4 separate regions of the Mus musculus genome follow, and all the other regions are reported to be linked to region 1. Evidence: microRNA targets listed by miRTarBase, many of them from high-throughput screens and not tested one by one. Region 1 holds a microRNA gene; each other region holds the end of a gene's coding sequence.
Evidence for each region. Region 1 holds the annotated microRNA mmu-miR-33-5p (GUGCAUUGUAGUUGCAUUGCA, at 4,191-4,211, opposite strand). A microRNA usually pairs through its seed, bases 2 to 8, with sites in the 3' UTR of a target mRNA and lowers its output. Matches are read on the target gene's strand: a 7mer-m8 pairs with bases 2 to 8, a 7mer-A1 pairs with bases 2 to 7 and ends in A, and an 8mer does both.

Region 2: miRTarBase lists Man1a2 as a target of mmu-miR-33-5p. Seed matches in the 3' UTR shown: 7mer-m8 at 2,549-2,555.
Region 3: miRTarBase lists Ccl2 as a target of mmu-miR-33-5p. Seed matches in the 3' UTR shown: 7mer-A1 at 6,666-6,672.
Region 4: the mRNA of Zzef1 is a reported target of mmu-miR-33-5p. Seed matches in the 3' UTR shown: 7mer-A1 at 1,931-1,937.

Annotation. Positions count from the first base shown.
Region 1 is chr15:82,194,575-82,202,337 of GRCm38, reverse strand. Mir33 (microRNA 33) reads right to left here and starts at 4,216; the gene lies at 4,148-4,216. It overlaps Srebf2 (sterol regulatory element binding factor 2), which reads right to left. Exons shown (of 19, transcript NM_033218.1): 14 at 7,314-7,423; 15 at 6,046-6,178; 16 at 4,552-4,720; 17 at 2,518-2,703.
Region 2 is chr3:100,561,099-100,568,861 of GRCm38, forward strand. Man1a2 (mannosidase, alpha, class 1A, member 2) reads right to left here. Exons shown (of 13, transcript NM_010763.2): 13 at 1,105-6,644. The coding sequence ends at 6,512. Among named protein-coding and RNA genes, the nearest start is that of Gm40106, 24 kb to the left of the region's middle.
Region 3 is chr11:82,036,180-82,043,942 of GRCm38, reverse strand. It overlaps Ccl2 (chemokine (C-C motif) ligand 2), which reads right to left. Exons shown (of 3, transcript NM_011333.3): 2 at 7,343-7,460; 3 at 6,491-7,017. The coding sequence ends at 6,765. Among named protein-coding and RNA genes, the nearest start is that of Ccl2, 4.5 kb to the right of the region's middle.
Region 4 is chr11:72,923,872-72,931,634 of GRCm38, forward strand. It overlaps Zzef1 (zinc finger, ZZ-type with EF hand domain 1), which reads left to right. Exons shown (of 55, transcript NM_001045536.2): 55 at 766-3,249. The coding sequence ends at 846. It overlaps Gm34704 (a long non-coding RNA gene), which reads right to left. Exons shown (of 6, transcript XR_879998.1): 6 at 7,463-7,574. Among named protein-coding and RNA genes, the nearest start is that of Gm34704, 13 kb to the right of the region's middle.

The DNA of each region.
Region 1 (7,763 bases):
CGGTTCCCTTCTGCCACCACGTGGGTGCTGTGGATTGGACGCAGGCCATCAAGCTTAATAGCCAGTGCCTTTACCTGCTGAGCCATCTCATTGGCCTAAATCGGCCGCTTGTGTAAAAACAGAAACCACTGGTGGGTGGAGGCCCAGGTCTAGGTCTCTAACTTCTTTGTCTTTCTCCAGTCTTAGAGAGAGAAACTAGGGCCTTACCCATGCCTGGCAAGCTCTCCACACTGGGCGACATCCTCAGCCTTTCCGACTTTGAGACAAGGTCTTACTAAGTTGCCCAGGCTGGCCTTGAATTTACAATAGTCCTGTTTCAGCCTTTTGAGTAGCTCGTGATGCTGGGTGGGGGCACTGAAGCCTCCTGAGTGAGGACGGGCAGGAAGGAGGGCATTTTAGGGGAGGCGTTTGGTCCCAGCCAGTCTGTGAGCAGACCAGAGGTCTAACCTGAATGGGTTCCAAAAGGGAGGTGCAGCCCAAACCATGGGGCACACATCTGTCTGTCTGTCTGTCTTCTTGAGGAAGTCTTTTTTTTTTTTAAAGATTTATTTATTATATTTAAGTACACTGTAGCTGACTTGAGACAGCCCAGAAGAGAGCATCAGATCTCATTACAGATAGTTGTGAGACACCATGTGGTTGCTGGGGATTGAACTCAGGACCCTCGGAAGAGCAGTCAGTGCTCTTAACCGCTGAGCCATCTCTCCAGCCCTTGAGGAACATTCTTATGTAGCCTGTGCTGGCCTCAAATTTACTATGTGGCCAAGGATGAACTGGGTTCCTGATCCTTGTGCCTTTATGTCCCAAATGCTAGGATTACAAGTGTATGCCATCACACTTGAGACTTCTTTGGTGCTGGGGCTGACAGAGGGCTTTATGCATTGTAGGTAGGCACACTACCAAGTAGCCCCTTTGCCTGTGCTCTGATGACCGGATCTCTCCCAGGCCAGTTGTCTTGGTATCCTGCAGTGTTCAGTACGACCCTGAGGCTGTACTTCCGGCTGAGGGATTTCTTCCCCAACAATAGCCTTGGCCTCCAGCGCTGCTTCTAGCCCAGCTTTCTCCTTTCCTTGCCACTTATGATACCGTGTCCTCTTCTGCTCTCATAGAATAATTCAGGCTCCAGCATGTGGATCCTTACACAATAACAACAGGGTGAGGTGAAGGGGGGGGGGGGGGAAGCAGGGCCGAGCAACATGGGCCTCCAGGCACAAAGCACTGCACTTGAGTTCAGACGCTACACTTCTCCTCGTAAGATCTGCACAAGACTGGGCTCTCCAACTTCCTGTCACAGAGTGAGGTGAGCTCATGAGTTCTCAGGCCTCTTGTGAGCATCTATATGCAGTTACGGATTGCTGGGAGATAGAGGGACATTATCATCAGTGGTGTGGCTATCGGCAAGGCCCCACATGCCTATGAACAAGCCTGATGAAACTCACTGGGTCATTACAAAATGAAACAAAAAAGCATGTGAGTAGAAAGGGGACTGATGGGAGGAGGAGAGGAGAGGCAGCACTGGGAAGGACAGGCTGACGGGACTGAAAGGAGCCCAGCACACACACATACATATGTAACATTATATACATATGTATGCTTGTGTGGGAATGTTACAATGAAATCCATCAATTATTGTAGTTATTGTAAATAAGTATGCTAATCAGGACAAAAGTGAAAGATATGCCAATTATAATTACATGTCATATACTATCTTGTAATATACTTATTATATATAACTTGTAATATGTATGTATGATTATTATGATTATTATGTGTCAAATAAAAATTTAAGTACATTTTTAAGCTGGGCATGATGGTACACACCTTTAACCCTAGCATCTGGGAGGCAGCGTCAACTAGATCTCAGTGAGTTTGAGGCTCGCCTGGCTGTCATAACAAGTTCTAGCCACTCCCCTAATGTTTAGTACAATCTATGCCTCTCCCCTTACTGCTGCCTCCGACTGCCACACACGTCAGGAGGTGTGTGCCTGACTCCACACATAAGGTGCTCAAGTAGACTCAAGGCCAAGCCTAGGGAATATATTGAGACTCTGCTTGAAACAAACTCCACCTGCTCACTGCATTACACTGATGAGCACTGTAAACAATGAAGGGATGACTTGAATGTAAAGAAGCACAGATGTGCATCTTTCCTCAGAGCTTAACTCAGATGCTGCAGCCAGAGGCAGGGGTGCTGCGGAGAGAAGGCAGCACAGCTGAAAAGTTCCCAAGTGGCTTACAAAATAAACTACAGTGAAGGTCCATTTCCATGTGGCTCTTGGGCAAGGCTGCCATCTGACAGTAGTTACAACTATTGAGCGCCCTTGTGGCCAGGACTGGGGAGGGAGCTGCTTAGCCTCTCCTCTGTCCTCTGACCTCTCTTGCAGGTCTGGTTGGTGACACATGACTCTGGGCCGGGTGCACAGCAGTGTGCAAAGGAACCCATGGTCCTCATCTTAGTGCTGGACCCGAGACCTACCCCCGCTAGCCTGCACATCCCACCAGACTGCTGGGCCTCACCTTGCGGTAGGCTGGGCGGAAGCTATGGGCCAGCCTTCGAAGGCTGCCCAGGTCCCGCTGGAAGCCGGCCAGCTCAGTGCCGGATGCATGGTAGGTCTCACCCAGGAGCTGGCTGGCACTGGCCTGCTTTTGCCAGAGTGCTGTCCTCAGCGACAGTAGCAGGTCACAGGTGAACAGCTGGATCACCTAGGGATAAACCGCAGGGAGAGACTGTGACTCGCCCACACCTAATTCAGGGACCCCAGCCCCTTGCCAGACCCTCAGCCCAACAGGTAGCAGCCCCTGGCCTGAACCCAGGCGGAAAACTCAGGGGCAGGGATTGAGAAGAGTATCTGCCGGGAGCATTAACCCTGTACTGCCCACCCCCAAGCTGGGTGTGGCCTGTTCTCATCACTCTGCAGGTAAGAAAACCAAAGCTTTAAAAGGGACACATCACGGTGGCTGGGAGGGGCAGGAGAAGATCCTCTCTGAGGAAGCAGCGTGGGGAGAGGTGCACATTTTCCGTCTCCCATGATGGGCCTGGAGGGTAAGTCACCCAGAGGTCCCCAGGCTTTTCTCCTCTAGAGGAACCAAGGGGCTGACTAAGGCAGCAGCGGAGCCTGGGGCAGAGGGCAGTGGGAGGAGGGAAGAGAAGGAGGTGGGCCACCAGGAAGGCAGAGGCACATGGTATTCTCACGTTTGTCTTGGCAGCTACAGAACCCTGGCATGTGACTTAATCTAAGCCTTACTTTCCTCATCTGTGAAATGGGAATGGCAGCTTAGCTGTTATGAGCCTTTTACAAGGCAGCCCTCTGCGCATGCACCGCAGAAACTGCGCGTTGTGTGTAACCCCTGATGAGTCCAGGCTACCTCCTTGATGCCCAATAAGCCATCAGTAGCATGTGCGGCCCTAAGGGGAGAGGGGCTCTACATGCACCATTTAGATTCCCTGACGGCCACTTCTCATCTCGCCTAGGTGGTTCCTGCAGGCATTGGACTTGGGGTACCATGCTGCCCAGACCTCTTCTGCCCCATGCCTGCACAAGGTGCCAACTCTGGGCCATACTATCCTGTGGTTGATGATAGCCTCAGGGGACACAGATGAGAAACTCTCCCTCCAGGCAAAGCTGGCATTTCTAAGTTGTGGGTGTAGGAGCAGCATCTTCATGCGTGGGACAGGAGCCTGGACTGGGTCTTGCACTCTGAGCATGCTCTCCCAGGCCCATTCTCCCGCCCTGAACCACAGCGCCAAGGGTGCCCCTTAAAAACCTTTCTAGTTCCTCAAATATGACTGACAATGGTTTCCTTGGGAGGAAACACACCAAGGGAGACCAACAGGAAGCCCAACAATGGCTTGCCACCAAGCCTGTGATCGACACAACGGCTCTCCCTGAAGGGCTGACAAGCTGTCCTGACTTACATAAAGCACCCAAGTGGTGGTCCGCTGACAGCCGCTACCATGACATTCCAGACAAAACCCCAGGAAGCAGCTAGTTCTAACCTCCCAAAAAGTTCCCTGTTCCTCCTGTCTGATGTTTCCTAGGGGACCAGGGGTGACACTGTCCTTATTCCCCACGATGGTTAGGTAGGCCCTCAGCGGTGCCCTTAGATCCTCTTTGGCCACGGCACCGTGGGCAGTCAGGGCAGGCCTCCGTGATGCACTGTGGAAACATTGCACAGGTATTGCCAGAACATGCAATGCAACTACAATGCACCACAGCTGCCCGCCAGGAGGTGTGCAGCCGGCCAGAGGCACCAGGGCTGTCAGTGGGCCCAGGCCCAAGGGAGCAGCGGACTACCTGGAGCAAACGCAGAGCCCTGGCCCGTTCACTTGGGACTTAGAGGAAGCTGCCAGCTAGCAGGACCTGAGAGTAAGAGAGCTCGGGAGAAGAAAAGGTGCAAACACATTTGCCCGGGGAAACAAAAGGCACATTGCCCGAGTAGGCTTCATCTGTGCATCTGGCCTCTGTGTCTCAGAGAGCCCAGCAGGCTGTGTAAGCTTGGGCGGAACTGTTCATACAGACCACACCGAACCCTCCAGGGGCTCCCACTCACATGGTTAAGTGAAGGATCAGAAGTAGTGCCGCTGACGTTGAGACTGCTCCACAGGTGACCACTGGCCCTCTCACAGTGACAGAAGGAGTTCTGCTGCCCGTCAGCTTTCCCAGAGAGGGAGGCATGCATGGCTCTACAGGTATAGAAGACGGCCTTCACCAAGGGACTCCTAGAGCAGTGAGTAGGAGAAGGCAAGCAGGTGAGCACAGGTCAGCTGTGCCAGCGTCGTCACACCCTCCTTGCTGTGGCATCTGCTGGCACTGCGATACTGCCACTGTGGTCTCCTTGAGCCAGCCCCAGACAGGAAACGCTGGCTTTGAGCCGAGTCAAGCCTTTTTCTGTTCAGTCCTTAACTGGTCCTGGAGGTGACTGGAGACTCAGATTCAGTGTTACAAGTCTCTGGCCTGGGGACAGGATGTTGGGTTGTGAAGGGCGGAGGAGCAAGAAGAACCCAAGCAGGGATGCCCGCCAGGCAGCTTTGCCGTCCATTGTGGCTCTGAGGCTCAGTGGCACAGTAACTTGAGGTAACCTACTTGTTGAGCCTCGGCATCTTCACCTGAGTCAGAGGCAGACACACTCAGGTAGGAGTGCTATTGTAGGGCTGGGTATTTACCAGATAGGGGCTTGAAATCTGGCCTGCCCCAATGAAACAGACAGCTCAAGCCGCCCCCTCCCACTCCTCAGCCTGTTGGTGCTCTGCGTAGAATTGTTCTTGGCAAGAGTGTGCCTTGGCTTTTAGGACAGGACCCCAGGGGACTCTCTGCCTCACTGCATGTGCGTGTTGTAATGTTACCAAGAGCACCCACATCTAACCAACGCCATGCAGGGTACCAGCAGGCAGGCTTGCTCATCTTTAAATACTGCACACCTCCAAGGTTCAGGCACGTGTTGAAAAGAATGTCAAAATCTTTCTTTATGCATCTTGCCCAGGTGACAGAGAGATGGCTCAGCACTTAAAGGGGTTTGCCATCAAGTTGATGGACTTCTGGTCCCTAGAACCTACAAGGTGGAAGGAAAGAGCCCATTCCTGTAGGCTGTCCTCTGACTTCTCCATGTGTACCATGACTCACACACACACACACACACACACACACACGCACAGAGCCAACAGGGCTGATGGGGAGTAGCGAACAGCAGTAAGGAAACGGGAACTGGAGCTCACATAAGCTCCAGGACTGCCTTGCAGTGGCCGCACTACATACATCACATTGCTGATTCTGGCTCTGCCAGGGCTGTGCCGTTTCCATTTCCTCTATACAGTGTGGCGTCACGGAGGCAGAGGGAAGGGGCATCCTAAGCAACCGTGCTAAGCAAGGGCGCCTGGAGAGCTCTGTGCAGAACACACACCGAGGGTTCCTCTGGCCCTCCCCCAGCTCCCATCTGTCACACAGTTCTGACCCCAGATCAACATGGCTATCTGGACCTGCTCCCTTCTGCTACCTCACTAAGATCCCCTTGGCGAAAAGTACATAAACGACCAAGGAGCTTACGCACTCGGTCACTTCCAGGGCCTTGGGGACCCGCTCTACTTCAGTAAAACGAGAGCGCACAGCTGCATCGTCTCCCTGGAGCCAGCTGATGGCCATGGTGACTGCGGACGTCCACCACCGGCAGATGACATCGGGGCCTGCATGGGAACAGCAGCAGGAATCACCCATTAGCACCCACAGGAACCAAGTCTAAGGGGCACTCAGTGCATGTGGCATCTCTCGGCTGTGGTGATGGACAAGGAATCTTCAGGTCACTCTCCCTCAGGATCTGGTAGTGTGTATGTAGCAAGGACTTGAACACGCTCATCCTTATGCCCCAGTAACCCCATTTGGTACTCTTATCACTAGGAAACTGGTCGGAATAGAAGTTTAACAAAAAAGTTCACTTTAATGCTAGATTTTTTTTTTTTTTTTTTTTGAGACAGGGTTGCTCTGTGTATAGACCTGGCTGTCCTGGAACTCACTCTGTAGACCAGGCTGGTTTTGAATGCAGAGATCTGCCTGCCTCTGCCTCCCGAGTGCTGGAACTAAAGGTGGGCACCACCACTGCCTGGCAAAGCACGTTTGTGTTTTTATTGCTGTAGTTTCCCTTCTGAGTCTCAGGTTTCTCAACTGTTAAAACTATGTTACAAGGGATCCTGTGAGACCAGCGAGGGACAGCCCGGTGACAGAAAAGGAGTAAGAACACGTATTCTTCTAACCCCCCAAGTCAATATGAACCACGCTACCATAGCTGCTTTCCTGGGACCCTTCTCTCCCTAGGATGAGAGCATCCTTCCAAGGTAGCCTGGCATCCCATACCCCCAGGTACTTCAGAGGCTGAGAGGTGGCAGTCGACGGGCTGTCATTCTGAGGGCAGTTTAGAGGGAGAAGCAAATAAAACCATAGCTCTGTAGTCAGCAGGGGAGACTGTAGCCGAGGCAGTGGGGAGCTGGATGGTAAGAAGGGAACCTTCCCAGCGGGAGTGTTAGAAGCTAGCTCCAGGGCCTTCTGTAGCTAAGGTGAACACCAGCTAGCCTCAGGCACTCAGGCCCTTTGTGGCTTGTATGTGCATATGGAAAGGGTCCTGACCTAAGCTACCCAGCCAGGGCCTCAGTGTGGTAATGACCCACTTGCTGTTCCATTATACAAGGACCAATATTCTCTGCTCAGAGAATGTTGCTCATGAGGGACAACTATGGGCTGGGGCATCCTTGCGGACGCAGATGCAAACCGAGGACAAGGGAAGATGCTTTGAGATGGACTCCTGATTCTAGAGGGGTTGATACTCACCAAGGGCCGACCTGAGCACGGAACTGCTGGAGAATGGTGAGGTCACAAATCCCACAGAGTCCACAAAAGAATGAAGTAATTTCAAATACTCTAGAGCACTGGAAAATTCACTAAAAAAAAAAAAAGGTGCCATGTTTATGACCTATAGAAAGACTACACCTATGTACGGTATGGCCTGACATACCCACATGTGTGCTTACACCTATAAGCTTGGCTGCTTAGAGATCCAATTCTAAGACTGAACGGCCCTCTCTGGCTCCCTTTTCCCATATCCCCGGGCAGATCAAGTTCTGCCCATGCGCATGATAGATGTGCTTCACAGCCAGCCTTCCGCAGATGTTCTTCCCTGTGCCAGCAAAGACCCCAGGCTCGGCCTTCCTCCCTCTGTGGACAACCCTGACTATTCCTCCAGACTAGACTCCAAAGCCACACTCTTCCAGAGATTTCCTA
Region 2 (7,763 bases), not on the chromosome of region 1:
TAGAAATAAAGCCTTAACAGCAGCCATCCACTGCTCACAGAGGTGCCAGAGCAATGCCAAAGGCAAGCGCTGTCCACATACAACAATACCAGTAGGCCTTCACCATACACGCAGGGATAAACTCAGAACTGATAACAGGCCTCTAACTAAAACTAGTTAGCTTTTCATGAAAAGTCACGGTGACACTAAATTAGGCAAGAAAGCATATTCCATCAGAGAACACATTGACCTTGCACTTCATCAATGCTAAACTCTTCTGTTCTTCAAGGGCACCATTAAGACAGAGGGCACATCAACATCTTAGAGAACACGAGTATATTCAGAACTCACAGCTTAATAAAAGGTAAAAATGGGCAGAGCATACGCAAAGCTAACCTGAAGAGAGGCACTGATTGTATGGATGGCCAGTGCCAGTGACTACGGAGCTGGGAACTAACACTAAATGATGCTGATGGGAAGGCTTAGCAGGCAGACTCTCTCCACCAAGCGCTATAGCCTGTGTTCCATCTCAGAGAGCCACATGGGGGAAGGGGAAGGAGAGAAATGCCTCCCACAACTGTCCTCTGACCCCCACATGTGCACCTTGGCATGTTCATATCCAAATGCACAATTTGAACTTAAAGATCACTACAGCGGCCTCAGCTTCCTGTTGGTAGGCAGTGGAGGGATGAAACCAGGTACTCCCACCTACACAGACTACAGCATGAAAGCAAAGCAAGTTATGAACAACTGTACCATGATTTAGCAGTTTCCTTTCTAGATACATATATACCCAAAAGAAATGAAGATGTGCCCACCCAAAAGTTTGTATGTAAAAATTCCTAAGTGTCCCAAATTGCTGTTAGAACTGCCTCACTCTTGACTAGTTTAAGGCTGTTTTGTAAGAGGGGACAGTAAGCTCTACTTTTCAAGTAGGTGTATAAAAACAAGCTCTTTATCTTTCTTAAAATCAAGAAATGTGAAAACAGACAAAGCCAAAAGAAATGCTTCAAACAATGAAGACTGAACCCCAGTTCCTGTAAACAAAGCCAAAGTTGCTCTTCTATAGACAGGAAGAAACTGAACTGTTTGTCACTGTAGGGTGAAAAAAAAAGAGAGAGAGACTTTTCACTTAAAGAACATCTTTATTTGATCTTCAATATACAATATTACCTTTGATTTATAAAAAAATCACATTATGGAGGACATGACTGGAAACCAGTTTAGGAGCAGCCAGTGGATAACAACAAAGGTTATACTTACCCACTTATTAGTTTAGGGAAAAATTATCAGCGAATTTGAGGCCAGTGAGAATAAAGAATGGTATTTCAACTTCTAAACCAACAATTATAATCAGGGATACTGTATTTAGTTAACCCAGTAAAAATGAACATCTAAGTTCTGTCAATCAAGAGCTCTGCTTCTCATGGTTTTCTAGTGTGCACTTCATCGATATGCAGGATTCTGTAGCATACAGGTTACTGCAAGGTGTCTGCCTGCTCTGCATGTATGCTCTGAGTGTTTCTGGAGTACTGAAGCTCACGTGCACACAGAGCGGAAGTGACCTGAGTAGGCAGGGCCTGGAAAGGCGGTTCATCTATGTATGCCATGACAAAGGCTGAGACGAGCTCGCTCTGCCCTATCATTCTGAATACAGGTTTCATTTCCAAAAATAGTGAAGTGCTGGACAAACATCACAGGAAGCTTACTGCCCATCAGGCTTGGCACACCACAACATAGATGCTAGCAAGATGATACCACAGACTTGTACCTTTCGTGAGTCCTGCAGTTGCTGATTGACTGTTAAACAGTGCAAGTATAAAGCTGAGGTTGAAGGATGCTTTGATTGCAAAGTGAAGCATACTGACGTACTTGTGAAAGCATTGTGGAGCATCATGAAATGAAGCGAGAAGGGGGCACGCCTCAGGGAACATACCTTCACTCAGACTTACGCTGCTCTAGGAGTGACAGCAGTCAACACCCTACATACTAGCAGTGGCTGTACCAAAGGGTGAATTGGGCACATAACCCATTTTGTGTTGCCCACAGTTTGCAAAAAGACTGTTTTCTGTAGCACCAAGATCCAGAATTCTACTATGCTCTCATCTGAAAGCTCTGTGAGAAGAGAGTGCATACTTTCCTACATCGCAAGGTCTTGGTCCAAGTGTCGGTCAGCAGGTGAAGTTAGAAACGAGTATTTTGATGCCATACAGATTATTTGTTCATGAGTAATCTGGAATTATGACATTAAACAACAAGACGGAGATAGGTGCCGAAAGCCTATCCTCCCATTCTGCCTCTTTCATGACAATCATATCCTAAAACCTGAAGAGACCCCGAAAAATATATCTACTTTCAAGAGAGCAAAATATACAGCTTTAGGTGACACATACATACAAGTGTACATACATACATATTTCTGCTTTAAAGTGAATTATGCAAATAAAAAAGAGAAAAGGTGCAGGTTATAGGTTAGAGGATCTTAAACAAATTAAATTCTGGATTGGGGTCAGCAGCTATGATGTAAGAGGCAAATCCAGGCCTCCATCTGTTTTTTTTTTTTTTAATGTGCATTGCATCACAGTTCCACTCATGTATTTGCATATTATTTATAGCTGTAACAGCAGAAATGAGTAATAAGAGAGCTACATGACTGGCAGACCTTAAAACACTCTCTGGCTGTTTACAGAAAAGCTTGCTGGCTATTTATAGAGCAAACAGAATACTTGTATTGGGGTATGGAGCTAAAGAACAGAGGCATGCTTTCCAGTGTCCCTGAACTACGAGTGACTTGAAACAGCTCCTGGTCAGATGCTGATGACTTAAATGCTCTGCAGACAGGCTGTGCGGACTACAGCAACTCTATCATCTACCTATCAGTGAGCAGACCATACTCCAGATCTGTGTATAACTGTACATATACACAGCTAAGCAAAAACAGACGAGGCAGGAGCCAGCCAATCCCAGGATAAAGAGCCCAGAGAAAAGAAGGAACCTAAAGTTACATCTATTATGCTCTAGTAACTGGGTTAGAGAAATTTTAGTATGTTTTCTCTATATGCGAGAAATACAGATGCCACCGTTATTAGGAAGTATACTCGAGAAAAAACAATTTACAACTGCACAGTGTACCCATGAATTAAGGGACAATTTTTCTTTTAGATATAAAGTAACACAGACTTCTACAAAGTATTGATCTTAATCATGTAATTAAAGTAATAACAAAATACAAATGATTTTATTTCTGAAGTAAATATTTTAGTCAAAGATGCAACAGAAATCAAATATTTCTTTGACATTTTTCAAGAGTCTTTAGTTATTAACTACAATTTTTGTTGTTAGTATTATATAGTAACAGTGTTTAAAATATATTATAAACCTTTTATCTCCCTTTTTAATTTAAATGAAATATAAAATTAAGAATTTTGAAACATGATTCATTTTGGGGAATATTTAAAATGCTATGGAACACTCTCATACAGAAGATGCCACTGGAATCATGTGACATGCTGTAAGGCCGGGGTGGTGCCAGGCGGAGCGTGACGCGTATGACATGCTCTGTACCTGTTTGTTCCCTCATTCTCTCACGAATGCACTCGCTCAGAGAACTCCAGCCTGAAGGGAGACTCATTGTCAGTCTTTACCGACAAATTCAGAGTGCTGACAAACACTTTGGTAATGAAGAGCAAAAAGGAGGAGAAGCTGAGGATCGTGACCTCAGACTGCTTGTTTAAAACCTGCCAAGGGAAGCCGTGGCGCCCGAGATGACATCATAGGGAATCAGGTAGTCAATATTCTGCAAAAAGAATGCGTTCCTCTAACACCCAGGCTTTCCTGCGCACATACCCCAGCTGGACGACACCGACAGGCTGGTGTTAGAGGCGCACAAAATGTGCAGCCCACCTGAAGAAAGACCTTCACCTCGGAACTTGCTGTTCTGCAGTGAGACTTCTTGGTGAAGGGCTCATTCTTAGTTTTACGAGCTTCATATTGGTTCATTAGTTTCTAAAACTCAGGTTTGAACCAAAAGGTGTGATTCTAAAATGAGCAATAAATCTGGAATTAGAAGGTGTTCAATAGTCCCTACTTTTATGTATTATTTAATCTGCACGACTCTGCCCAAAGCTGAAGGTGAGGTACCAGCTTTTTGGAGAGACATCAGTTAATGAGCATTTCTGGGTTATCTTCAGGGTTTATAAACACAATGATATGGAGTCTAAAGTACTAAGGTTTACAAACACCAAGTATATGAACGATGGAGGAAAACACACAAAAAGTAAGCAAAATATGGGATAATGGTAGATTTTGGAAAAAATTATTTTAAAAATTCTATTAACAAAATCAAACATGACACTGGCAGTCGTTTGTACCTGACTTTAATCGCCTTTGGTATTCAAAGAGGAAAAAGCATTGTTACAAGCTCTAGTTCTTATCAGGAGGGTGAGGACAGTCAAGTGACAGTCTTAAGATCTTTGTGTGAACATGTCCTGCTCACACCTGGGCCTTCTCTCTACTGCTCTAGGATCACGTGGACAATGCAGAGCACTGGGTAGGTGGGGGGACTCTTGTCTCCTTGGAGCATTCCCAGGGAACCAAGATGGCGCCTTTACTGCATGAGTGTAACAGAGGTTCCCCTGCTTGCTGCACTGGTCTTTGGCACCTTCAGCTCCTCACTTTCCTTTGACTTGGGAGTGGGCTTGTGCTGTATGAGGAAGGCTCACTTTCTTTTTCTCTGAGAACCAAAACCTCATCTTTTTTTCTAAAGTAATAGCCATCTACCATTCTCATTTACAGTTTAAAAATTTCAAGTAGGAAAAGATACAGTTTTGACATGTGCTAGAGCTCACTCTCTCCATGTTGTCTTTTATCAATACTGAACAAGTTTGAGGTGGCAAGTTTTTGGAGTACTGGCTCAATCTGAGGATCAGATAATGGTTTTCACTGGAAGATGCTCAGTCAACTTATAACATGTCCAATTATATTTTTTCCACAGTTTAAATCTGCTAGTAATAAGCTAGTACGGGGCTAAAAAGAAAAGCTACCAACCAAGGAAATAAGTTTTCAGAAATCCACAGTAGAATTCATAAGCAAAGTGTTTCATAAAATATTATAGCGTTCTCAAATTTATTGTCATCAATAGATGATGTATGTATGAAATAAAAGAGAGAAAGTGTCTTGAATTATCACAGAAATTCAAGGGACAGAAAATTTATAGCATTACTATTTATCTTATATTATAATAAGAACTATAGTTCTTGATAAAAATTTACCCTTTTTTCTGCCAAAATATAGAGCAGTATCAACAACAAAAATAACCAGTGCAGGTCTGTAAGTCCCTTAGGTTCATGCCAATTTTAGTGAGTATGATTCTTTACGTCACACATTTGCCACTGAAAATTATTCCGAAGCTATTCTAGTAATTCTTTGGATGGATAATATCTTGGAGAAACTTAAAAACATAGACTCTTTGTGAACAGATCACACGTGTGAGGTAATGAGTGAAGGACCTGACCCTACTCAAGGGACATTGCTATGTTTTGCCTTTGCTTTAGTAAGTTGTAAAAGCGATTAGGTTTGTTCTAGCAAATACAGAGCTGCATAACAGTAGAGTCAATTTTGCCGAACCACATGGAGTTGTAAGGTGAATGACTCTATTAAGTGTGTTATGAGATTAAAGCAGAAAATGTTTGCTTGATATAGTTGCTGATTCAGAAGAATAATTAAGGATTTCTCTAAAACAGATTTCAAGGCAACAATCTGGCACCTTCCCTCCTTCCATCATGCTCCCAATGCTAGCGTGAGCTACATGCACACTCCCACACTCCGGCTCATAAGCAGCAGTTATGATAAATACCAGGTTCAGCATATTATATGGAGACAACGACTTGAAAAATATTCTTCATGAGATCATGCCCCTCAGAGAAAAACTCAATCTAAACAGATTTCAATGCCTAGGTTGGGAATGAAATGGTTGCCAGTCTGGTAAAAATCCAATGAGGAGCTGGAAAATTCAGACAGGGCCAGTATCTGTTTGTTTCTTTCCCAAGTCTTCTTGCTACAATGTAGTTACATGTTCCTCGGTTCCTGCTCATTCGGTTTGTTCCATTGTTAAAATGGAGGAAAGGGGCTACACAATGTGTTATATTTGATTTGAGAGCTGCTCCACTGTGGGAGAAAACAAATGTATAACTGGTTCAAAAAGCCATCTCTAGCTCCTGTAAGGTGCTCTATGGTCTTGACTTGCACTGACAGTATAGAATAAGACATTGTTTCTCATGTGGCCATCTCAGTAAGAATCAAAACACATCAGGTCTCTGTCCTACATGTACCAGAACTTGTTTTGGTCAGGTATAAAATGGAATAATTTCAAAGTTGATATATGTACAAGTGAAAAGTCTTGCAGGGAAGAGTTTCATCCGGCATACTGACATAAGAGTCCCAGTTTCCCACAGCCGCCTCTCCTCTGCAGACAGTCTCTGTAGTGGTCCATGTAAACAAAACACAGGTAAGAATGGTCCTTCTGGGGCTGTGCTCATCGGACAGCAGGATTACCTGAAAGAGTGCTGTTGGCTAAGCGCAACACCGGCAGAGGGTGCGCCTCTGTGTTAAACACCCAGTGGTCTAAAGGTAGAAGGTCATCGCCAGAGAACAGCAGGTACAAGTATCTGAAAAGAAAAGGACAAAACACGAGTCAATGCCGCAGGAAACCAAGTGGGCTCACTGGGGACTGCAGAGAAAACCAGTAATTGATTCTGAGCAGTTCCGATGAAGATGCAGAGCTAGACCTGATGAATAAATTTCTTAAAAAAATTCACATACCTGTGCAAAGCCTATGAAACAGTGAAGGCTGTAAGAACAGCAGAAGACACATCACTTCGTAATTTACAGACATTGTTTAAAAAAAGTACACATACTATCATTCATAGTTTTTGATAACTGATTGATAATAGAATATTATATAAAATTAGTTTATGAGTAAAATTTTAAATTAGAGAGAAGTTAAATGTAAACAGATTGCCATAGTCAAGGGGTGAGCAATCATTTTTCCTTTACTCATTTCAAAATTATCTAGTAGACCATCAGAAGGAGAGGGATAAACAAACTGTGCATCCCCAATAGAATACGAAATAGCACCACCAGAAAGGAAGGAACTGCTGACAACTGTATACGGACCACTCTGCTAAAATACCAAACCATATGATTCAAACGAATCAGTTTTTTTTTTTTTTTTTTTTTTTTTTGCATGTGAATCTTTATTTTTTTTTTTTTTTTTCGAATCAGTTTTTAAAGCAGGCAATGCGACAGCAAGCAGAGCAGTTTGGGTATGGATATAAGTGACTGCAAACGAAGGTGGAACTGTATCCTCTGCACTCGGTGTCGCGTACCAATGGGCTGGGTTTGGAGGAGTACACAGTCAGAGCTTCCCTCAGCATGTGAGCATTACAGAGTGCTAATATGAACTAAGATGGTCAGCAGGTGGCAGAATATGTGGGACCCCTGAGGAATATGTGGTCCACCACTGGCCAAAACATCACTGCCCAGAACACCACGACGACGACGACATTAACCAGGGTAGTAATTATCCAGTCTAACAAATCTGACAAAACAGCAACGAAGCACTCACCTAATATACTGCAATAGAGACTGACAAAAATAGGAAGTCAAAAAATTTGTTGTTGCTGCTTAGTACAATTTGTGTCATAGCTCCCTCTACTGAAGCACAAGAGAATGGCAAGGCATTTTAAAGTACATGGTTTTAAAAGTGAACAAATGATTATAATTGC
Region 3 (7,763 bases), not on the chromosome of region 1:
TGTGGTTTATGGTTTTGCCACCATCTTAAAAATTTAAAAGAGAATGAAGTCTTTAAAAAGTGACTTTTATAGTTCTCAGTAAAAACTGGTGATTGTTCCTGAAAAATGACTCATTGGTCTGTTCCCGACTCTCTGTGTGCATTGGGGACTGGGAACAGACACACTACATACTTACTGGGAAAGCAAACCTGGGAGAAACTCAAGCAGCGCGGCTGTGGAGAGGGCTCGGTTGGTAGAACACTTGTCATGTAAGCACGGGGACCTCAGTGTGATCCCCTGAACCCAAATAAAGTTGAGCAAAGGGGTACAAACCTATAATTCCAGTGTTGGGGAAGGGACAGGAAGATCTCTGGGGCCCCTTGCCAGTCAGCCTGATCCACTGAGTGAGTTCTGGGTTCAGTGAGAGATCTTGTTTCAAAGAAAATCTGGACAGTGCCTGAAGAACAATATCTGGACTTCTGGCCTCCGTGCAGATGTGCCCATGAAACCCAGCAATGAGAGGTGGTGCTCGGTGGCTTTGTGCTTCTCATGTTCTCAGGATGAGCATCCTTGACCATGGCTTCAATCTATGGGCTTCTTATGCCCATTTCCACCTGTTGGCTATACTGGCATTGGAGCTGGGTGGGCATGCCTGTCTTTAGTAGTTATCACAGCTGGTACAGACCTTGGGCTTCTGATTATTTTGGCAACAAGATTTTTTCAAAAAAAAAAAAACCTGACTGTTACTGTACTGGGCTACTGGTACAGGCACACCACATCTCCCTGTGTGCTTTTCTGGCTGTTTTCCTTGCTTCATCCATACCTGATCCACAACTCTTTTAAGCCAAAACTCCCAGGCTTAAATGAGAGCTCCACATTTCTAACCAATTCCTTTCTTTAAACCACTTTATCCACCTGGAAGCCTCTGCAGATGATTTAGTGTTTGAAACCTTTTTTTAAAAAAAATCCATCCCTATGCTTTTATAGTCAAATGGTTTTCAGTAGAATTTTGGAGGGCATGCACTCCAGAAAAGATAGTCTTCAACAAATGGTGCTGGGAAAGCCAGAGATCTGCCTTCAAAAGAATAAAGGTAGACCCCAGCTTTCACAGTAAACAAAAATCAACTCAAATGGGTTAAAGATATGAAATGTAAGACCTGAAGTCATGAAGTGACTAGAAGGAAACATACAGGAGATCCTTTGTGATGTGGGCATAGGCACGAAGTTTATGGAGAAGAGCCCAAAAGCATAGGCTACAAAAGGAAGAATTAGCCAATCATATTTTATCACCACAAAAATGTATAAACAGTATATCTAAAAAGCCACTTCCTAAATGAAGGCATCGATAAATAAAAGAATTCTCAACTTTACTGTCCATGAGGTATAATGATTAGTGTTGATTGCCAACTTAACAGAATCCATAACTACCTGGGAGGAGGGCCTGTGTGTGCCTGTGTGTGTGTGCCTGTGGGAATTATCATGACAGTGTTAGATTAGTTGAAATGGAAAGACTTGCCCACTGTGGGTGGCACCATTCCCTGGCTGCTATCTTGGACTATGCGAGTAGAGAAAGGGAGATGATCAGCAGTCTTCCTTTATCACTCTCTGCTTTTCTGCTTTGGATGGGACATGATAAACTGCTTCAAGTTCTTGCTTTCATGGTTTCCCTGCCATGATGAAACTAAGAAGAAACTCTTTCACTTAGAGTAAGAGTATTTGTTTTCATAGCAACGTGAAAAGAAATGAATACATCAGGGAAAGGCAAGTCAAAACCACAGTGAAACCTTCCTCCGGTCAGAAGGGCTATTGCTTAAAAAAATGTCAAAAATTAAATAATACTGGTAAAGATGTGGAGGAAAAAGGGGCCCCTTGAAACTGTTAATGGAAATGTAAATTAGTGCAGTCATTGTCAGGAACAGTATGGTAGTTCCTCAAAATATTAAAAACTAGAATTGGCAATCTTGCAACCCTGCTCCTGGGCATGTAGCCAACGGAGTAAGAATCTGTATGCCGAGAGATATCTGTACTCCATGATTATCATACCATGGTCCACAACAGCTAGGAAATGGAAACAGCCTAGTCTTAGTTGATAAGTAGATGCAGATGATGTGGTAAAAGTATAGAGTGGAATATCAGCCATCAATGGATGGAACCCTGTCACTTTTGACAACATGGCTGAAACCGGATGTCATCGGGTTACATGAAATAAGCCAGACACAGGAAAACCAGTCCCATGTGATCTTCCTCATGTGAGAGCTGTGAAGGTTGACCTCATGAAAATTGAGTGTAGAATGGTAGTCACTAACGACTGGGTGGGGCAGGGGGGATGGGCAGACCAAATAAAGTCAACTAACAGATACCAAGTTACAGATGGACTGGAGAACGGAGTCATGGTGGTTGATTATATGCTATTGATTTATAATTAAAAGACCAGAAGAAAGGATTAAGAGGATTTTCCATTTAAAGATGGTAATTGTTTCATGATATACAAAGAGAGAGGGGGGAGACAGAGATAGAGATATGATGATGATGATGAGGAGGAGGAGGAGGATTTATAAGCAAATATGATGTTTATGCATTAGTCATAATTAAAAAGAAACCTCTAAAAGTCCATGTCAGTGCTTGATTTGGAACAGCAGCTGTGCCACCAGATTCTGTAAGACCCTGAATTTCTTTCCTGAATTCTTATTCCCATTCACCCTAATTGGAAGTTGACCAAGTTCAGATCAGAACAAGAGATACCATGAAAACCTGTGCCAGAGGCTGCAGCACCAAGCGTCCAGTCCAGTAACCTGCCAAAGAGGACCAAGAAGCATTATCTCTCAGTTGCCGTGTGCTACCAGGGTCTTCTGGGAAACCCTGAAACCTACCAATGGGAAGGAGAGCTTCCCCCATTTCATCACTCCACACCAGAAGCTTTTGGAAAGTTTTGTATTTAAGGTTTTTTTTTTTTTAATGTTATTTACATTTGGTGGCTGGAGAGATGGTTCAATGGTTAAGAGCACAAAGTTTGGTTCTCAGCACCTAGGTAGGGTGACTGACACCTGCTTGCGACTCCAGATCCAGGGGAGATCTAATGCCTGTGGGCATCTCAGGTACTCGCACTCAAGTGCACAAACTCACATGAAGACAGACAGACACACAATTAAAAAATTAAGCAATTTAAAAACTCTATTTATTTGCTTATTTACTTGTGCGTGTACACACACACACATACACACATACACACACATACATGCCAAGGCTTATGGTTGGAGGTCAGAGATCAACTTGTAGGAATCAATTCTCTCTTTCTACCATGTGGGTTCCAGGGTTGAATGGGGATTGTAAGTCCTGGTGACAAATGCCTTTACCTACTGAATCATCTGGCTTGCCTGTGTGCCCTCATTTTATAAGGAACTCAGGCATATTAGCACAATGTATTAGCTAGGGTTCTCTCCATGTGTTTATTATATATTAGTTATATACCCACACATGTATATATATATATGTATATATACATGAACATATATAGGTGTGTGTGAGTGTGCGTGTGTGTAATTATAAAAGATAGTTGATTATACTGAGTTTCATAACTATTCACTGCATAATTCCCCAGTGAACATCTGGAAAGTCAGCAATCTAGTAGCTTTTCAGCCCATGAAGCTGGGTACCTCAGGAAAACAGGGGCCAATGACCCAACTCCAGTGTGAGGCTGCAGGCCTGCAAGCTCCTTGGAGAGTCCCTGGTGTGAGATTCTGTTGAAAGGCTGGAGAGGGTGGCATCGAGGTCCACTGGAGTGGAGCTTGCGCATGCCATTCGCTTGTTTTGCTTCTACTTCTCTTCTGTCTGGACCCATGTTAGGGTAGGTCTCTGCTCTAGCTGCTGACTCATGTTACAGACCCATATCCACACTTACATAGGTGAAACCAGAAGTATTCTTTGCTAATGCCCTAAGCATCAATCACTCAAACCACATAGACAACCAAGATAAACCATATTGTGCAGGCCACTTAGAAAGGACCTGTGGTACAAAGTAAGGGCTTTACCTCTACAGAGGACATCCATGCTGTTATTAGGCTGTCTTCTCAGCAATCCAGACTGTGCCCAGCTACTGAGTATAAACCTTGCCTGCTCCCTAGGCATGCAGTCTGAAGGGCAGCTCTGTTTCTCAAGTGCCATTGCACTAACCTAACACCTGGAATCTGCGCTAGAAACTTGATGTGCCAGAGTGGGGGATACCCAGGGAGATATCTAGGGAGATGGACCCCCCACTCACTTAGACGAGAAGGGAAGTGGGGATGGGGAGAAGGATTGTGGGAGCAAGTTCTTTAAGGGACTGTAGCTAGATTGCCTCAGTGTAGACTTGTAGCTTTAACAATCCAACTGTATGCTAATGTATTTGTCTGTTTTAAGCCATTAGGTTTATGGTGGTTTGTTAGTGGCAATTGGGGACTAATAGGAAGAAGTGTGGTACCTGGGGGCAGGGACCCATTGCAATAAATCATAGAAATGGCTTCTGAATTGAGCAATAAACACAGGCTGGAAGCCTGAGAATTATGGGAAAGGATGAGACATTCTGGAAGAGTGTTGGCAGCAACGGGAAAATGAGTGTATCCAACTTGGCCTCCTCAGGTGCCTGAGCACTGCCAGGGCTTTTGCTCAGCCCCATTGTGGCTCCATTGTGCAAGGATGGAGGAACTCAGGCTTACTTCGAGAAAAAGAAACCTAGTCAGTATTTCCCAAGAGTGAGCAGATAGGACTTACAGATGAGTGGGGACAGGCTGTCTGCAGGGTGAAGTATTTGTGCCCCACTTCCTTTCTCTCTCCTTGTCCCAGGTCCTTTGCAGCCGGTCAGCCTGGCATCAGAGGCCCCCTGTTCTATAAGCTGCAAAGCAGAGATCAACTCATTTCTAATTTACTTCCTCTTTGCCTCTTTGCATCCACTATGATTTTAAGATTTCTTTTCTGACCTGTAACCAGCACCGAGGACCACTGGACCTGGAATGTAGGGTCAGTGAATTCGTCACACTGCTATGTACAAATCGTTTGCTGTCTGATGTAACGGGCTCTTGGAGCTCTGAAGGAAAACCCCAGCTTCAGCCAAAGGGTCTGGTCTGGCTCAGGAATGCTCTAACTGAGCAGCAGCAATGGAAACTTTCCAGGAGACATGCTTCTAAATCAGGAAGGAAAACGTTGGGCCCTATTGATCTCTGCAACACCTCCCCTCCCACACTGGATTGATAGAGACCACTTGCTTGCTCCTAAGTGACTGAGTCATCTTCAGCTCCTGTCCTGCCTGCAAGCCAGAGGTCTCCCCAGCACCTCATGTTGCCAAAGAGGGTGTGAGGTCTAGCTTGACAATCTTTTCTCCCCACTAGATGGAGAGGGTGAGCACTATGGGAGTTTATATTTTAGAGAAAGATGCCCAATCACCTTGGTGGAGAGGCTATTTGTGTGTTCCTGTGGTCCAAATGCCCCTAGGATGAGCCCCATGCCACAGACCTCAGATGGACATTCAGAGAGAGAACATCTATCCATTTGAGTGGACAACCTAGGTTCCTCTGTGTGGAGTCAGGGTGCTGATGGAAAGAAACACTCTCAGGTTTCAGAGACATTGCTTCATTAACAATCTCTGGAAAGGTCCGTACCTTAAGCCATCTCCCACGGTCCAGAACATTGTTCTCTTGGACCCAATATCCAGCCCTCATCTCATGATGAGCCACAACCAATCACTTGTCTCCACTTCTTTCTGTCTGTCTGAAGTCATCAGGATGTATTTTTCTGAGGCTCACCTCTGAGCCTCTGAATGAAACACGTCCCTCCCTCTTTATTGGACCGAAGAGTTTCAACTTATCCTTTAAATTATAGGTCCGAGGGAATACCATGTTCTCACCTTCCTATTCCAAACCCTGTATTGAGCTTCCTCTTGAAAAATCCCCATCTCTTGATATACATGCAGCTCCATCGGATGGTTTCCCTCGCTCTTCCCCGTTTAATGTACACACCATTTTCATTTCTATTTTTGGATAATTTCCCCCACCTACCAGTTTTCCTTAATGCTTTTGTGTTTTTTTTCCTATAAAACTAACCATTATCAAGGATAAGTTCATGTCTTCCTCTCTCTAGGAAGCATTACCATAACCTTCCTATAGAAGATGGTTAAGTCTCCCGTCTGTTCTCCACTGTCTGAACTACCTATGCAGTTAGAGAATTATAAATTGCAGAGCTGTAGATGGAAGTGATGTATCCCAGTTAAAGGGCAACTAGGACATGTGACTGGGAAGGACTGGGGCTTTTGTTGAGCATGTATCTGAGAAGCAATGCTAGGGACCAAAACAATGGTACTAGCATCCCTGACTGGGCCCCATCTTGAAGAGTCTATGACACTCAGATAAGACCATTCAATACAAAAGAGTGGGCCATTCACTCTCCTGTTCCCCCACAATATGTGTCCCAACCTGTGTTGCTCTCCAAGCTTATATACTCTCAGCTTTGCAGTTTCCCTCAAGAAAACACTCAAAGTCAGACTGGTGTACAAAAATAATATATTTCTTTTAATAATAAGGAATATCCATAATAATATTTTAAACAATACCTTGGAATCTCAAACACAAAGTTTACCCATTCATCTTTACAAAATTCATCTCTCATACATTGAAAGTGTTGAATCTGGATTCACAGAGAGGGAAAAATGGATCCACACCTTGCATTTAAGAAATTTTAGTATTCATGAAAGGGAATACCATAACATCAATAAGTTAAATAAGTTTAATATTAATTAAGGCATCACAGTCCGAGTCACACTAGTTCACTGTCACACTGGTCACTCCTACAGAAGTGCTTGAGGTGGTTGTGGAAAAGGTAGTGGATGCATTAGCTTCAGATTTACGGGTCAACTTCACATTCAAAGGTGCTGAAGACCTTAGGGCAGATGCAGTTTTAAATAAAGTTGTAGGTTCTGATCTCATTTGGTTCCGATCCAGGTTTTTAATGTATGTCTGGACCCATTCCTTCTTGGGGTCAGCACAGACCTCTCTCTTGAGCTTGGTGACAAAACTGTGGGAAGAGAAAAGACACTGTTAGATGAAGTTCAGTCTGGTATACATGGAGGGGCTGTGTAGAGCTCAGCGGGGGAGGGCAGGTAGAAAAAGGGGACTCAAAGTGACCTGCTTCTCCTGCAGGTTTTCTAAGATAAGCTTGTGGAGTAGAAAGGGCCTGAACAGCAGCCATAGAGACAATGCTGTTGAGAACTGCCTTTGCCTTCTTGGCCTTGGTTTCCCCATTGGATCTGAGTGTGTGACTGACTATAAGTATATGAGGACCATCCCTTGTTCTTAAGGAAAAACCTTTGGACCAGGGAGGGCCGGGGTATGTAACTCACACTACAGCTTCTTTGGGACACCTGCTGCTGGTGATCCTCTTGTAGCTCTCCAGCCTACTCATTGGGATCATCTTGCTGGTGAATGAGTAGCAGCAGGTGAGTGGGGCGTTAACTGCATCTGGAGAGTAAAAGAGAAGCACATTAGGACAGGAAAGATGCTTCTGACCTTAGAGAAGAGAAGGACCACGGGGAGAAGGCAGTTTCAGCAGGATGGGATATAAATGCCAATACATCAGATCTGGGATGTGATCTTTGACAACAGACTCAGTTATTTGCAGCTTAAAGTAGGCTCACAGTCTTGGGTAGAGGGATGCCATTAAAACTATGTGACTCTGGGGACTGTCATTTGGGGGAGTTAGAAGTCAAATTACTATGACCTGAGAAGATTACCTGAGTACATTACTGTAGGCTGCAAAAAAAA
Region 4 (7,763 bases), not on the chromosome of region 1:
GTGTTGTGCTCTACTATAGCAGACAGACAGCTGGGGGATCTCCAGCGCTCATAGAACGTTTCTCAGCTAGGCATCCACCTGGGACTCTTCCCAGAGCCTAATCCTTCAAGGAAGGCTCTATGTGGAAGGTTAGAAGTGTTTTGCTCGGAACTGGGGCTCCCCTACTAAAGCAGGGGAAAGAGCAGGTGGGGCTGCTGAGGTCTCTTAGCAGCCAGCTGCACTGGCTACTACGGCCCTTGCTTTCTTGATGTGCTATAAGAGATTTTGATGTGTGGTGAGCACCAGCTTTCTCTCCATGGGCTTGACTGGCCCTCATGCTTGCCCATGCATATCTCATCCCCCTTCCCCTGTGGCCCTCCCCACAGCTTGCCAGTCTCTTCCCTGAAGTTCTGCCTTCTAGCCATGTCCTTCTGGGACAGCTGCTTTCCCCGCAGTGTTCTGAGCTCCCCATGGGTACTTCTCTAGCACTAGCTGTTCACCTCTTGTGTGAACCTTTGTGCTCCCCTTCTGTTCCTTTCTATGGCTTTCCCAGACCCCTGCTTCAGCAACTAGACTGCTACCACACCATGGCCATGGTTGTTTTATTACTTACCCAGGGTTTTCCTGTGGGCTTTGGTTTTGTTTTCTTTCTCATTCTACTTGTGAGCCACTGGGTAAGGGGGACTACCTCTGGCTCACCTTATCACCCTCCAGCTGAGGAACTTAGACTCAAGGATGAGGAAGTCAGTGGCTCTTGATATTGATAACTGCTCTTTCCCTCCATAGGCTCTGCAGAACATTGCTGCTATCAGCCTGGCCATCAACTACCCAAACAAGGCCACCCGCCTCTGGAATGTTGAGTGTTAGCCTCAGTGTGATATGCATGGACTTGATCATTTGTCTACAGGGGTTTATAGCAGACCTCCAACCTTGCTCAGGAAACCCCTGAAGCCTCTGCACCCAGCTCTCTTTGAGCCCACCCCCTGCTCCCATCTGGCCAAGCAGCCGCCTCATCAAAAAGGCCCACTGCAGGCGCCACATGTCCAAAAAGGCACAGCAGTGTAGAGTGGCTCAGAAAGAGCATCAAGAGGCCTTGGGAAAGTTATTCAGAGAATAGAGACTAGAGGCCAGTCTCCTCCAGGGGAGTCACAGCACTGAAGACCTGGAAGCCGTCTCTGAAAGGATTCTGTCTCCACTGAGTGGGAGCTGCCTAGGCTTGCCATCAGGAGAAGGCACCATCCACCCAGAGCTACCTTTGCAGTAAGACTTGCAGCTTGCAGCAGCAGTGGCCCAGTTGGGACACCAGCCCATAACCAACATGAGCACCTCCCAGCCACCTCCAGTTCCCAAGCAATCTTCTTGCCACAGCTTAGCTGGCCAACTCACAGTGAGAGCAGGTGTCCCTGGGAGCAGCTGGCAGGCTTTGCTTGTCACTGTGCAGCAGCTCCCCGCACACATCTTTGTTCCTTCATTGTTTTAGTTTTCATTTCCCCTCATGGTTTTAGAAGAGAACCACATCGACTCCCTGAGAGGTCCCCTAGGGAATGCCTAGGGGCAAACTGGCATGTGTGGAAGTGACAGAAATGGAGGGGCTCTCCAGCACCTGCAGTGCAGGCAGTGCCCTCAGAGGAGCCTTTGTTCAGGAGTCAGGACACACCTGATTATACTTCTGCTCCAAGGTCATGGTGATCAGCAGCCTACGACCTTGAACCTCCTGCCTGGTTGTTTGGCCATCCCCTGCCTAGCAATAACTACGTTAGTTTTAGTGAAGCTTTTGCGTATTTCCTTCTATGGTTTTAGCATTGCCCTGTGTGCTGATGACCTTTTTCCCCAGAGCCACAGAGTAGGATGCTGGGTCAGCAGCAGGCCGTGGACTTTCAGGAAGAATCCTGAGGCACCTGCTGTTGAAGGGCAGGCATCTGGCCAGAGGCATATCCCACCTCACAGGCAGAATGCAAATAAAAAAAAAAAAAAAAAAGGCTCCTAAGAGCCAGGGCCACATTTGGCTGGCTTTTGCTGTGACCAAGCTTGCCCCTTTGGCCTCTGAAGACTCTTCTGGGAGTTGGCAAAGGACTGCATTGGCAGAACCTGAACCTGCAGGTGTGGGAGCATCTTGTGCAAAGGTGCTATGCCTTCTGGCACCACTTCCTGCCCAGTCATAGAATTAGGTTATCTGATGAACCCCAGCACACAGGAAAAGTGGCCACAGAATGGGAGGGGATGGGTTATAAAAGCAGAAACAAATGGAGTGACCTATGGTCCACCACCCTGACATCAGAGGGAACTTGGTCCAGGTCCCATGGTATTGGACATGGTGTCTGCTGGCCCAGAGGAACCTCTTTCTCACCTTTTGCTCTTTGCCAAAGCACCTACGCTTTGCAAGCGGCCTAAACCCCAGAGAAGTCTCCCGTTGCACGCCATTCCCTCCAAGTAGGTCTCGGATGAGAGTCAGAACAAGTGCATGGTGAAGAGGCTTCACTCGCGGTGGCTCAGACCACACAGCAGTTAGAAGATGGGGGAGGAGATGGCACACTCACACTCCTCCACACCTCAGACTGAGCAGAGAGAGCAGGTGGACAGGGCAGGGCAAGGCTGGAGACCTCCCTTGGGACAGTGGCCCCAGCTCTCCTCCCACCCTCCCATCGGGAAGAGCAACTGTAAATAAACGCTGGACTCCATAGCTCCTCTCCACTCACTGCTTGCTGTTTTCTCTACGTGCTTCAGTTTGCATAGAATGAGCTTAAGTTTGCCCTTCTTCACACACCACAGCTGCTCTCTGACCGGACAGGGTCCCTCCTGACCTGGCCACCTGCAGCCCACTGCCTCTGCTTCTCTAGGCCACTGGGTGGCACTGCTGAGCCAGGCCAATGTCTCCTGACCCCAGCCGGGGCAGGAGGTCCCAAAGGATTTCCATCAAGGCCAATATCCCCTTGACTCTTAGGAGGCAAGACTGCCTGGACGGAGACAAAACTGGCAGGCATAAGGGGTCGTGGAAACATGTGCCTAATCTATAAAGAATTCTGTTCCAAATCAGATATATTGTACAGACACTGTTCTAATGAGAGGAGTGACTTATTTTCATCATCGTTTTTAATTTGTTTTCTTACGGGTTTACGATTTTGAATTTTTCTTATTTGGTTGAGTGAAAGAATTTTGATTATATCAGCTGAGTGAGTTCAGCCTGTAAAAGGAATGTTTTAAGTTGTGGATAAGATATGCAAATGAAGAGAAATATATTGTAAAAATTCTATATAAAAAAGTACAACTCTGTGTGGATTTCTCCCTTTTCTCTTTCCTTCCCTGCCCCCTTTCCCCTGTGGAAAGACCTTGCCATATCCCCCAGGCTGGCCTCAAACCCACAGTCCCTTGCCCATGTCTCTCATGTCTGGCCCTTCAGTTTCTCTTATGAAATATATTTTGAAGTGTATGCCTGGCCAAACAAATGGGATTTACAGAACCTCATCACTGCCTGCTTATGGGAAGAAGTCCAGAAGACCCTTCAGGGCCCAACCTTTGTTGACAGAACTGTGAGCCTTGCCCTTCATTGTGGTCAACCAGGGGATCCATCCTCGGGTGGTGCCTTCCTTGGGTGCCATCCTAGTACTCTCATATGGATGCTTCCTTTCCCATCTCCTCTTGAGGTCAGGGTAGCAAGCCACTGATACCTGCTAGGAGGCTCTAGGGCAGTGTTCTCAGCCTGTCACGACCCCTTTGGAGGTCAAATGATCCTTTCACAGGGGTCGTACAACAGATATCCTGCATAGCAGATATTTACATTATGATTAATAACAGCAAAATATTTATGAAGTAGTGATGAAAATAAATTTTCTGACCCAAATTTAGGCAACAGTTTAAACTTACAAAACTGTTCCAGGAAGAACTATCGACATAGTCCTATTAAATAGGAATATATATGTATATATATATATATATATATATATCCACTACTAAAGTGTCTCAAGCCTTCAAGAGTTTAAGGGCCACTGAGATGGCTCAGTGGGTGAAGAGGCTTGCAGTCCAGCCTGATAACCTGAATTTGAACCCAGAAAGAAGTGAATAGAGTCTTAAAAGTTGTCTTCTAACACCCACATACAGAGACATACTAGATAGAGATATAATTTTTAAAATATCAGCAATGTATGAGAAGAAAATGTATAAACACTTCCTGCAGTAACAAGGCCACTGACAAGGTCCAGTCAAGCAAATGGCAGCCATTAGCAAATTCTTTCTTAGGGATTCTTGGCTATTGTACCTTCCCTCAGCTCAAAAGGAATTGAGACTCACTTTGAAGGCACGGTTCCAGAATTCAGTGCGCTTTCTCCATATTTAAGTTAAACTCCAAACTGAATTTGTTTGTATGCATATGCATCTAATCCACACAATCTGTGGAGGTCGCAGAGCAACCTAAAAGAATCTCTTCTCTCTCACCAGGGTCCCGGGCAGTACACTCAGGTCAGTAGGCTTGGCAGTGAGGGCCTTTACCTGCCAAGCTGTGCTGCTGGCCCCAAACTAATTAAATTGAAAAGGAGAATTCACCAGCCTATAAAACCGGGAAAGCTAAGGGTTGCATCTGACTCTGGGGAAAGAGAAACTCTATGGCCTGAAGGTGGACAGTCAGTTTGTCTGTCTCTCCTCGCCTCTCCTAATCTTCCAGGATGTTTGCTCTCAAGGTGGCAGTGCCTGCTCCCTCTGAAGAGCCTCTCTCTGTGCCCCTTCATGGGAGGCTTCCCTAAGCTGTCAACCACAATTTGCCTTCATGTTTAAAAAGCTACTTGGAAGACTCATGTCCTTATGGGCTGCTATCTCAGAACTGCTGAGCAACCTGTATCCATGACAACTGGGCAGATGCCATGTCTGGGAAATCCCCACGTAGCCACTGTGAGTCCTGTCAACACAGCTGCTCAGCCACTACACCAGGTGAGACACCCTAAAGTATGGTGGCGACACTGTTATTAGGACAGAAATTCACAGCAGAAGTGAGAAGAGTCAGCTGACTAAAATTCCTTTTACATTTTAAATTTAATTTTTAAGGTTAACATACTATTGTGCATTTTAATCAGGTATAATGTAATGTTCATATGTTGTCTTGTTTACAGTATTACAGATTTAACCTAGGGCGCCCCACATACTAAACAATAACCTGATCACTGGGCTTTCTGTATTTTTTTTTCTTTTAAGGCCTAAGTTCTCCAGGATGGCCTTGGGCTTGCAAACCTCCTGCCTCAGACTCCCAAATAGTGAAAGTCATTGCAGTCCTGCCCATCCAGGTCCCACTTACCACTCATTGTGAACATTCAGAAACCTCTGTAGGGAGCAGAGCTCAGGAGTAGAGCATGTGCTTGGCTCTCATAAGCTAGCACCTCCTCAAAAAAAAGGTCTATACAAGCTGTCTTGAAATAGCTGCCAGCCACTGCTATTCTGTACTAGTGGACTTTAGAAGCTTTTTCTCCTGGGAACTTTTCATCTCTTCACTTGGTAACGATTCTTTTCAACTCCACCTTTCTAGACTTTAAAAAAAAAAATTATTTTATGTGCCTGCCTGCATGCACATGTGTACCACACGCATGCAGTGCTCAGATACGCCAGAAAGGGGTATCAGATCCCCTAGAACTGGCTGTTAGCCATCATGTGGGCACCAGGAACCAAAACCTGGGCCTCCACGCCCAGATTCATTTACTTTCTTCAGCTCAGCCTTGCCTCCTAATGGTCCCGCCTCATCCTCAAAACAGTTGGGAACCAAGCCTATGGAGGACAGTTCATACGCAAGCCATTCCTGACGTTCAGATGTCCTTAGCTACCAAAGACTCATGCCCATCTTCGCACGCAAAATGTCTTCAATACTTCTCTTAAGACTCTCCAAAGTCTCAACCATTCCAGTGTGACTCAAAAACCCAAGTCTAAAGCATCTTCAAAGACAAACTCTTAGTTGTGAGCCCCTACAAAATTGAAAAATCAAGTTACATATTTACAATATCCAGTAACATGGTTTAAATGTTCCCATTCCAGAAGGAAGAGGGGCGGGTGTAGACATGCTGAAAGGAACAGTAAAAGACTGAACCCCAGTCTGGCAGACATTTAATCCTGTACCTCTGGCCCCAAAGGGTCATCACTATGGCCTTGCTGGCTTTAGCATGTATGGCCTCTCTTGGGCTGGCTCTACCTATTGCTTGCAGCTTTCCTCGGCGGACGTCCTTAGTCCCAGCATCCTCAGCTTCCTGAACTGCAGCTCAGGCACTCTCAGAACCTAGTTCATCCCTCGGCTGCTGATAGAAATTCTCATCCTGGAACACAGAACTGAGTCTCACAAGCTTTCTTCTGGAATCTGACTAAAAGTTTCTATGGCCCACAAATTTATTTATGTTCTGCATGCCTACAAAAACCAGTCATGCAGATAACAATAGGTTGTCACCAACTTGAGCAATGGCCAGGCCCCACCAGATGGTAGAGACTGTGGCCTCTGAATAGCTAACCATAAAGACTCTTCTGTGGGTGACCCTTGCAAGAACTCTTCTCAAAGTTTTTCAAGTGATTGTACTTCTTCACACCTTCAGAGCCTTGAGTCTCTGATGGATGGTGTCTGGTTAGCTCTTGAGATGCCCTCAAAAAACCTGTGGTCCAGGTGCACAGAACTTAGTTGTTTTTGTTTTTGTTTTTAAATCTCTTTAACCCTATCTTCCCTGAAGGTAACTTTAACCATACACCTTTTTCTGACAAAATTGCAAAGTTTTCAAGTCTTTCCACTCTTTCATTCTTGGGGGGGTTTTTTTGTTGTGTTTTTTTTTTTTTTTATGAGACAGGATTTCTCTGTGTAGCCCTGGCTGTCCTGGAACTCATTCTGTAGACCAGGCTGGTCTCGAACTCAGAAATCCACCTGCCTCTGCCTCCAGAGTCCTGGGATTAAAGGCGTGTGCCACCACTGCCCAGCTCATTCTTGATTCTTAATGTAAACCTGGCTAAAGCTAGCTAGGAATAGACTAAGTATCAAGCTGTCTTAAAATTCTCTCCATCTGGGCCAGGTATCGTGTCTCATACCTTTAATCCCAGCACTCGGGAGACAGAGGCAGGAGATCTCTGTGAGTGAGTTCAGGCCAGCCTGGTTGACAGTGAGTTCCAGGAGAGCCAGAGCTGTGTAGAGAGAAACATGTCTCACAGAAACTTTTTTCTCTATCTGATTAATTAGTCTACCACCTTTAAATTTAGCCTTCTATAAAGTCTCAAAACCTGGGCAAACTGTAGGAAACTTCTTTGCCCCAGTGCAGCATTGTCTTGCTGTGAAGAAAAACCATGACCAAGGCAACTCTTTAAAAAAACAACAACAACAACACTTATTTTATTTCATTTATTTTTGCTTTTCAGGATAGGGTTTCTCTTTATATCCCTGGCTGTCCTTAATTCACTCTGTAGACCAGGCTGGCCTTGAATTCAGAAATCTGCCTGCCTCTGCCTCTGAGTGCTGGCATTAGAGGTGTGTGCACCACCATGCCCAGATAAAAGGAAGCATTAGTTAGGGGCTTGCTTATAGTTTCTGAAGGTTAGTCCATGATCATCACGGTGGGAGCAGTCAGGCATGGCCGTAGAGCTGAGGGTTCTACATCCTGATCCACAGGCAGCAAGCAGAAAGAGAGAGAGACTGGGACTGGAGTAGTATTTGAAATCTCAAAGCCCACCCCAAAGTGACACACTTCCTCCAACAAGGAGGTATAACACTTCTTAATCCTTCCCAAATGGTTTCACTAACTGGAGATCAAGAACTCAAACATTGAGTCTATGGGGCCACTCTCATT